Caenorhabditis elegans: one gene and its partner. The protein of the gene in region 1 purifies or fractionates together with the protein of each later gene. This does not show direct contact. Each region holds a gene or a part of one and is shown on either strand. Other genes may lie near its edges.

Region 1 (4,191 bases):
ATTGTCAAATGTCACTGAAAGTTTCTGAATTTGAACTACCGCGAAAAAAATTGCTGTTTTTGAAAACTCACGTTTCTCACTTCTTTTATAGTTTTAGAAAAAATTAATTTTCCACACAAAATATGGAAAAACTAAACAAAATAAGCCTAAACAACTTTTTAAGCTAAAAGTTTAGCACAATTTAGCACAAGTAGCACACATTTTAAAGCTAATTTTTTGCACTCTCTCTTTATAGCACACTAAAAAGCCAGTATTTCATTTTTCAGAAAACTCCCAAACCACAATACTCTTTTCAAAATTTTTTTAAAACACAACATTAAATGAAAAATGCGTTTATTTTTCAGGCATTCTCAGTTTCTACTACTTTTCCGGACGATGGGTTGTTGAAGGTGTTCCGAAAGTCGATCTCTACTACTATTTTGTGCCAATTGTCATTGTGGTCATTGGTAATACTTTGAGCAGTCATTTTTCGACAAAAAATAAACAAACAATCCCATTTCAGGCAGTTACTTCATGGCCGACCTGTTCTTTGATGTCTACGAAATGGCTGTGGATACAACGTTCATTTGCTTCCGTAAGTGCAAACCACTTTGATGAATTTGATTTTTTTTTTCGACAGTTCCCTAAACATTCTCAATTTTCAGTGGAAGACAGCGAACAAAACGATGGAAGCCTTGAGCGACCGTTCTTCATGTCCGAAAAACTACTTGAAATTCTTGGCAACAAAAATGACATCCCCCTCCATTCAAAATGATCTCAACCCGAAACACCCATCCCTGTGCATATCAGCTTTAAAAGCCAAATTCTCATGTGTAATGATTAACTTATACATCCCGTGGTACATATTTTTGCACACGTGTACAGATAGAATTTTCAATTTTCATTTTCTTGACTCTTAGACTTTTACGGTTTTCAAAAATACCCACATTTTTCCTGTTATCACTCTGTCATCTCATGTAATCGTTTATCACTCTATTTTTTATTCATGAAGCACATGAACACATTTACACATTTTCGAACCATTTTTTTGTCGATCACGGCGCACCTCGCAACAAAACAAATTGTTGCGTTCAAAGATGTGTGACCAAACAACAATATGTTTTTCCTTTTGGCGACGTGAATAACGTAACATGTCGTGAGAATTGCACGTGCGCTCTATTGACAATTTTCAGAATGATTGTTGAATATTTCAAATTACGAAATGTTTCTAGAACAATCACTATCGAACGCAGACCATTTGTCATTCTGCCACGGGCGCCGAGGCACCGCTGCTATCGCTCCATCCTCATATACACACACATTCACCTGTTTTTGCCGTTTAGTGTCGCGCGCGCGCTCACCACTTTTCCAAATAGTTTGCACTGTTTCCACAATTCACTGCTGCTTTGCTCTTCGCTTTCCTATGAGGTTCCGGCTCATTCTTCCCATTTATCACGTAGTAGTCAGGCAAAGTTTAAGTCGCATTTCTAATTTGAGAATATTATATGATTTTGATTGAAAATCCGTTAAAATTGTAAAAATCTAGTTTTAATATTTTATCGTTCTCTAAAAACCTTATACGACCTGATTTTTATTACCAGCCCTGCTTCCTCCAGTAACATCATTTTATTGTCAAAATTGATCCGCGTGTTCATGTTTATAATCTTGCCCTACATAGCTACAACCTAGGCCAGCCTATTCAGCTTTTCGGCCAAATGTTTAGGCATTCTGTAAAATTTGGACGCTTTGCAACAAGAACACCCGCGCCGTTTTGCAACAGAGACTGCATTTGGGCTGTGAGGTCTAAAGCTGTGGTCTAAGAGCGCTGGTTGTTCATCTCCGCCTGTGTTTCTACTTCTTTAGTCCTGCCTGTGTTTCTCCATCGTTTTCCATTTCTTTCACCACGACCACCCCCACTGTGTCCACTGGCCGGTCCGTCGTCCCCGCCGTGTCCCGTCCATCCATCCGTCCGTGAGATGCGGCGTTGTGTGTTGGCGAGGGGCGAGGGGCGAGGGGCGAGGGAGAGTGTCTTTTCGGTGGTCTGCGCGGGTAGTGTGAGGCGGAGTGTATTGGGAATGAGAGGAGACAGGAGTGCGGGGTGTTTGTGTGTGTATGTGTCTATGGAACAGACACCGAGCATCGATCGATGGTATTATGTGTCCACCACATCCATGGTTGATGCATTATTTTCATCAAGCTTCGAATTTTTCAACTCTGTCCACCCAAGCATTTCCCTTTGTGTTATCAACATATTCCGGCGCGTGTTCTCTTTTTCCTACACGAACAATACACACACCAACGTTTTGATAACGGTCTTCAAACCGGCGGCTGTCACCTTCATTCTCCGATTGTCTTAACTTGTTGGTGTGTTGTTCACGCCGAAAACAAAAAAAATTCCTCCAATATGATGTTGCCATCACTTTATTTCGACAAAATCAAAATTTCTATCAATAACACTTTTCTTTTTTATTTTTCTCCCTCCCCCTCGCGCCTGCTTCCCGAAATGATTCATAACGCCTGGGGTCCTGATTCATATTCCCGTCCGCATCATTCTTTTTTGTTCCTCTCCAAACGTACTCTCTATATTATTTTATTTCAGAACCAGTACACCTACAACATGTCTGGCTGGGACGACTACATTAAGCTTCTGTTCGGAAAGAGCCCAGCCATCAAGAGAGCCGCTATCATCGGATCCGACGGGTCGGTTTGGGCTAGAAGTGGGGATGCCAACGCTTTCCGGGTAAGACGTTTTTTTTTTTTAATTTTTTAATGACTTTTTTAAAACTCCAAGGATTATTTAAAATCACCACAAAATTATAATTTCAGGCTACTGAGGTAGAGCTCAAACGTTTTGCTGCTCTGTTCAACGACATCAATTCGGTGCCTGGAACCGGCGCTGATTTGGAAGAAATTCACTACATTGTTCCCCGCGTCGAGGAGAAGCTCATCTTTGGAAAGAAGGAGCAAACCGGATTTTTCGCTGCCAAGACAAACCAAGGTGACCGAGTTCTTATTTCTTCCCAAAACGATGGTTTTTTTTTCAGCTATTGTGATTGCAATGTACGAGGGAGACAACGCTCAATCGGCTTCAGTCCGTGCCGGCGTCGAATACATTGCCCAGTACCTGGCCAGCTCTGGTTATTAGATACCTAAGGTAACAAAATACTTTTTGTTGGAATAGTTGATGAACCAATTACTATAAACAGTCTTATTTTCAGATTTGGAAGCAGTACGGTACCAGTTGCAACTCGATTCCCTTATGCTGCGCTATTCTCGTTTTTGTCTATGTGTGCGTGTTTCGCAATTCTTCATGTTCTATTCGGTCAAATTAATTAACAATTCATTGCTTGCTATATTTTACTCTCGTTCCTTACTATTTGCTCTCTCAAATTTTCTTTTATTAAAATATTCTTTTCACTCACTTCATTTTTCAATTTTCGAGGTTTCGGTAAGTCATTCCGAATTGATTCCAATTTCCCCACCCCCATCCCATTCATCCCATTCTTTTCTTAAGTGATTCTTTGAACACGGATTTTTCCTTTTTTTATTTTATAAATCGATTTTCGTTGACGATCAGCGCCTGATTCATACATTAATAAAACATGAGAGACGCATAAATGTAGAGAAAGAAAACTATGGAAAAATTGAAGTCAACTGCAAAGAATAACTGGATCCAAAAGAATGGATACTGGACTAACTTGAAGCTTTCGATAATCATAAGATTTTAGAGAAAATATCTCTCATAAAATTTTTTAATGTTTGACCCAGAAATATGGTACCTCCTGGTCTCGACAAGACTGCTCATTTTTGATGCAAAAAATTATGCTTTTCTTAAAAGGTACCGTATTTTTAGGTTTTGTTAATTTGAAGCTTATCGAAAAAGAAAGCAAAGTAGTGCACGTGAAGATTTATGAAGTGCGTTAAATTTAAAAAAGAATCAAGGAAAATTCGGCAAAGACAAGTTGAAAGTGTTACCAGGTTATACGACAATTGGATATTTTTTGGAAGTTTTTGCAGTTACTGGTTTCTGACATTTTTGGCTATTGGGAATTGCTAGCTCCTCGACATTTAAGCAATTGGCAATGTCGGCAAATGCTAGTTTCCTAATTTTTCAAGCACGCAAAAATTTTGATAATTTATGGTTTTTGAAATTCTCAGTAATTTGCCGTATTGGAATTTGCTGATTTTATTTGTGTTTTCTCGAGAAATGTT
Region 2 (4,082 bases), 2.1 Mb from region 1:
AATCAAAGTATATTAGCTTGTACGGAAGTTTTTTTTTTTAATTGATAAAAATATATAAAAGCTGATTTTTTCAAAAATTCAAAAGTATGGGAAAATCATATGGAGTCATTCTTTTTTATTTCATAAAACTGTTTAGCATAGTCAAAAATACCAGAATATGCTAATCAAAGTATATTAGCTTGTACGGAAGTTTTTTTTTTTTAATGATAAAAATATATAAAAGCTGGTTTTTTTCAAAAATTCAAAAGTCCTGGAAAGTCATATGGAGTCATTCTTTTTTATTTCAGAAAACTGTTTAGCATAGTCAAAAATACCAAAAAATGCCAATCAAGTATAATAGCTTGTACGAAAGTTTTTTTTAAAATTACATTTTTAGCACATTTTTAGCACATTTTTAGCACATTTCAAGCACATTTCTAGCACATTTTTAGCACATTTCAAGCACATTTTTAGCACATTTTTAGCACATTTTTAGCACATTTTTAGCACATTTTCAGCACATTTTTAGCACATTAATGGCACTTTTTTTTGTATGATAGAACATGTAGAATATAGGTGCTAAGTGATCTTTATCTCTGCATAAATAATTGAAACAAAATTAATGTGTAAAAATAGTAGAAAATTTTTTTGGTCCACTTTCAAAATTATGAGTGGCAATAACGGAGTCACTTTTCAACAGTAAATGAACAATTTTCCAAAATTATTGATATTTGGTCCTTTTGGCACCATAGGCGTAGTTTTTTGCCAATTTCCCACTGGTGCTACTCAACGTTTAGATGAAATCACATAAAGAAAACGACAACTGTAGTTTAAATAATGGTTGTTGCAGAATTTGGCAGCGAGATCATACTCTAGTGTTAAGTTTCTTACCTCAACATGTTCATTTTTTAATCTGTAGAAAATTAAAAACTAATAATTGGGATAATACATTCCACCAAGATTCCAAATTGAAAACATCAGAAGATTGCTTGAAAATAAATTTATTTTTTTCGGAAATGAAATTGAATTGCAAATTTAAGAAAATTTCAATAGAATAAGTTTAAACTTTTATGGGAGTCTCTTGTAGAATCTGCGGCCTTCGATATTGTTGAAGCTCATCTTCTGTAATTAACAAAAATGTATGTCAAATAGATTGACCAAATTTTACCTGAATAAGAAAATCTCCATCAAAGTAATACTCATAGGTTTCTTCCTTGGATTCTCCCTCTTCAAGTGGCTTGTGATGTTCGAACAAGTGTCCGTCCTTGAGAGTGAAGGTAACCTGAAAATTATAATTGAAATAAAAATAAAATAAAAAGTACATGGCATGGAACTCACCTCGTGCTTGGTGTTATCAAGACCCTCTCCTTCGAACTTGCTTCCGATCTGGACGTTTTTGTAGAACACATCTTTTTTCGATGTCAAGTTGGAGTAGTCGAAGAGGTTTTTGTTAGCATTCTTGGCAAAAACCTTCTTGAATGTCGCAAAGGTTACAAGCTTTCGAGTGAACCATCCGTATCCTTTGGCAGTGAGGTACTCATCAAAATTTTCAGAGTGATCCAAGTCGAAGGTTCCATAGAACTTTTCTGGAAGCTGTTCGGCAGCCACAAGGGTAGCTCCACAAAATGCGAGTAAGATGAGGAATTTCGAAGACATTTTTGTTCAAGTCAATGACTGAATGACTGAAGTGTCCACAGAAATGAAGATTGATCAAGACTCCGCCCAGTTGCTCAATCGACAACACAATAAAACTGAGGTCAGCCACGTGTGTAATATAGGGTCACGGCACGGATGGCAACAACAAATTGATGATCGGACTTACTTGATTTTCAAAAATCCTCACAACACCTGGAAGCTAATAATAAACAAAATTTAAGAGACCGAACGAAAACAATTCATCGATTACTTGTTGAAATGCAGAATGAATTTTGTCGAAATAAATTTAAACGCGTTAAGAAAATTGAAAAGAAAACTGCTACGTTTTTTGACTGCACATCAAACAATTTAAGACTTAAAAAAATATTTTTAATGAGGTCCTCAAGATCCAATGATTTTAGTTATTAAACTATGTATTTTGAGAAATGGTTCTTATTTAATGGTACCTTATTCAGAAATTAAATGTGAAAATCAGGAAAAAAAAAATAAAAAAGAGCATACGAAAGAGTAGAAAAAACTCCATTTTATAGAAAACTTTCGAACACAACATCGAAAAAAAAAAACCGAAAAGTGATTGGATTTTGACCCACCCGAAATTTTAAACTGGTTGTGTCCTTTTTGTGTTTTGAATTACGTTTTTGCAAATATCACGGCGCAATCGAACTTTCATGTTTTGATTCCAGCATAGGTTCAATTCATCTGATAATTTGATTCTTAATTTCAAGTCTTCAATGTGCAAAATTTTCTTTTTAACACTTGTGTCACTTTTACACGTTAACAAAAATTCAAATTTTAATCAACTTTGCTTTCTAGAACTCCTAATATGTACATTTTTAAACCAGTGAAAACATTTCCCAAACAAAAAACTTCAGAGGGCTATGCAGCATGAATCACAAAAGAACCGCGTTATTTTTCTTATTTTTTGCCCCATATCACATTACAGAATCGATCTAACTTTTCAGTTTATTTGAAACTTGAAATACATCAGTGGCAAAAAAAGTACATTGAGAAATCAATTCATACAAAAATTACAATAGTTTCTGAATATTTATGGGAGTCGTTTGTAGAATCGGCGTCCCTCAACTCCATTGAAACTCATGCGCTGAAAATTACAATCATGAGAATGTGAAATTGGTTTTTAAAAAATGTTTATAACTTACCACAAGAAGGAATTCCTTATCGAAAAGGTACTCGTAGGTCTCTTCCTTGGCGTCTCCTCCCTCGAGTGGCTTGTGATGCTCAAACAAATGTCCGTCCTTGAGGGTGAAAGTGATCTGAAAATTAATTAATTAATCAATTTGAAAGGTTACTTGAAAACTTGCAAAAGCGTACCTCGTGTTTGGTGCTGTCAAGTCCTTCTCCCTGGAAGGCTTTTCCAAGTTGGACATTCTTGTAATGGACGTCTTTCTTTGATGTCAAGTTGGAGTAGTCAAAGAGGTTCTTGTTGGAAGTCTTAGTGAACACCTTTTTGAATGTGGCAAAAGTGACAAGTTTACGAGTGAACCATCCGTATCCTTTAGCAGTGAGATACTCATCAAAATTTTCGGAATGGTCCAAGTCAAAAGTTCCATAGAACTTATCAGGGAGAACAGCAGCTGAAGCAGCTCCAACAAGAACCAGGAGAAGAGCGATTTTAGCGCACATGGTTGGCTAGGTCGATGAATGAACGACTGACGTCTTGGCAGGACTGTGGGCTGTGTGTCGACGTCGTCTGCGTGGACCCCGCCTACTTGCACAGTCGTAAACAACATTGTACGGCAAGAAGTGCAGCCCACATGTCGATTGCGCTGACGATTAGCAGAGATGGACGGCTGGACTCGGATGGGTATCGAAAGAGAGTGTAGCATAAATGATTCGGGGCAGATTTTTTTTGTTCCGTGTGTTGGGGTCAGTTCGGATATTTTTGAAGAGAGTAGTTGCATGAATCGGGTCCTGGAAGACCGAACAATCAACTCAAAATAATTTCGTTGAAGGTTTAAGGCGAATCGAATTGCAATTTCCTTATTTGGTTGATATAATTTTATGTTATCATTATCTTTCATAGTCTATAGTATGATTCTCCATTTCTTCAGCAAACATTGAATACGGCAACAGGTCTTCAGGTCTGCAGTTCAAAACACAATCCATGCAGGGCTGGGACTTTGGAAAACCAAAAAAAACTACCGGAAAAAATTATGAAAATTTTTATTCATATAGAATTCGACCCACAGAAAAAGAAAACGACTTCAGAAAAAAAGTTTTTTTGCCGCAGAATTTCGGTACATTCGGTTTTGGGTTTTTTTGGTTTCAAAATGAAAACGAAAAAATATTGTAAGGATCCCATAAAACACAATTTTTCAAAAATATTTTTAAACTTTCAACACTAGCTAAAATTTTTAAGACACAAAATTGTTTTTTTTTCTGGTTTTCAAATGTTTGAGCCCTATTCCCAGATGACAGAATTCATA

What was found. The genes of interacting proteins can lie anywhere in the genome.
Region 2: the proteins of pfn-2 (region 1) and lbp-2 fractionate together in Caenorhabditis elegans (co-fractionation; one large-scale study listed by BioGRID). This does not show direct contact.

The regions. Positions count from the first base shown.
Region 1 is NC_003284.9:5,352,460-5,356,650, reverse strand, and holds pfn-2 (Profilin-2), read left to right. Parts: upstream 1-2,578; 5' UTR 2,579-2,596; coding exon 2,597-2,719; intron 2,720-2,805; coding exon 2,806-2,977; intron 2,978-3,023; coding exon 3,024-3,124; 3' UTR 3,125-3,133; intron 3,134-3,197; 3' UTR 3,198-3,548; downstream 3,549-4,191. Other genes in the region: chtl-1 (Choline transporter-like protein 1), read left to right, coding at 345-446, 503-574, 645-754. UniProt on the Caenorhabditis elegans protein: Binds to actin and affects the structure of the cytoskeleton. At high concentrations, profilin prevents the polymerization of actin, whereas it enhances it at low concentrations. By binding to PIP2, it inhibits the formation of IP3 and DG.
Region 2 is NC_003284.9:3,258,355-3,262,436, reverse strand, and holds lbp-2 (Fatty acid-binding protein homolog 2), read right to left. Parts: upstream 1,828-4,082; 5' UTR 1,636-1,827; coding exon 1,318-1,635; intron 1,262-1,317; coding exon 1,148-1,261; intron 1,102-1,147; coding exon 1,048-1,101; 3' UTR 967-1,047; downstream 1-966. Other genes in the region: lbp-1 (Fatty acid-binding protein homolog 1), read right to left, coding at 2,684-2,737, 2,796-2,909, 2,968-3,279. UniProt on the Caenorhabditis elegans protein: May play a role in sequestering potentially toxic fatty acids and their peroxidation products, or it may be involved in the maintenance of the impermeable lipid layer of the eggshell.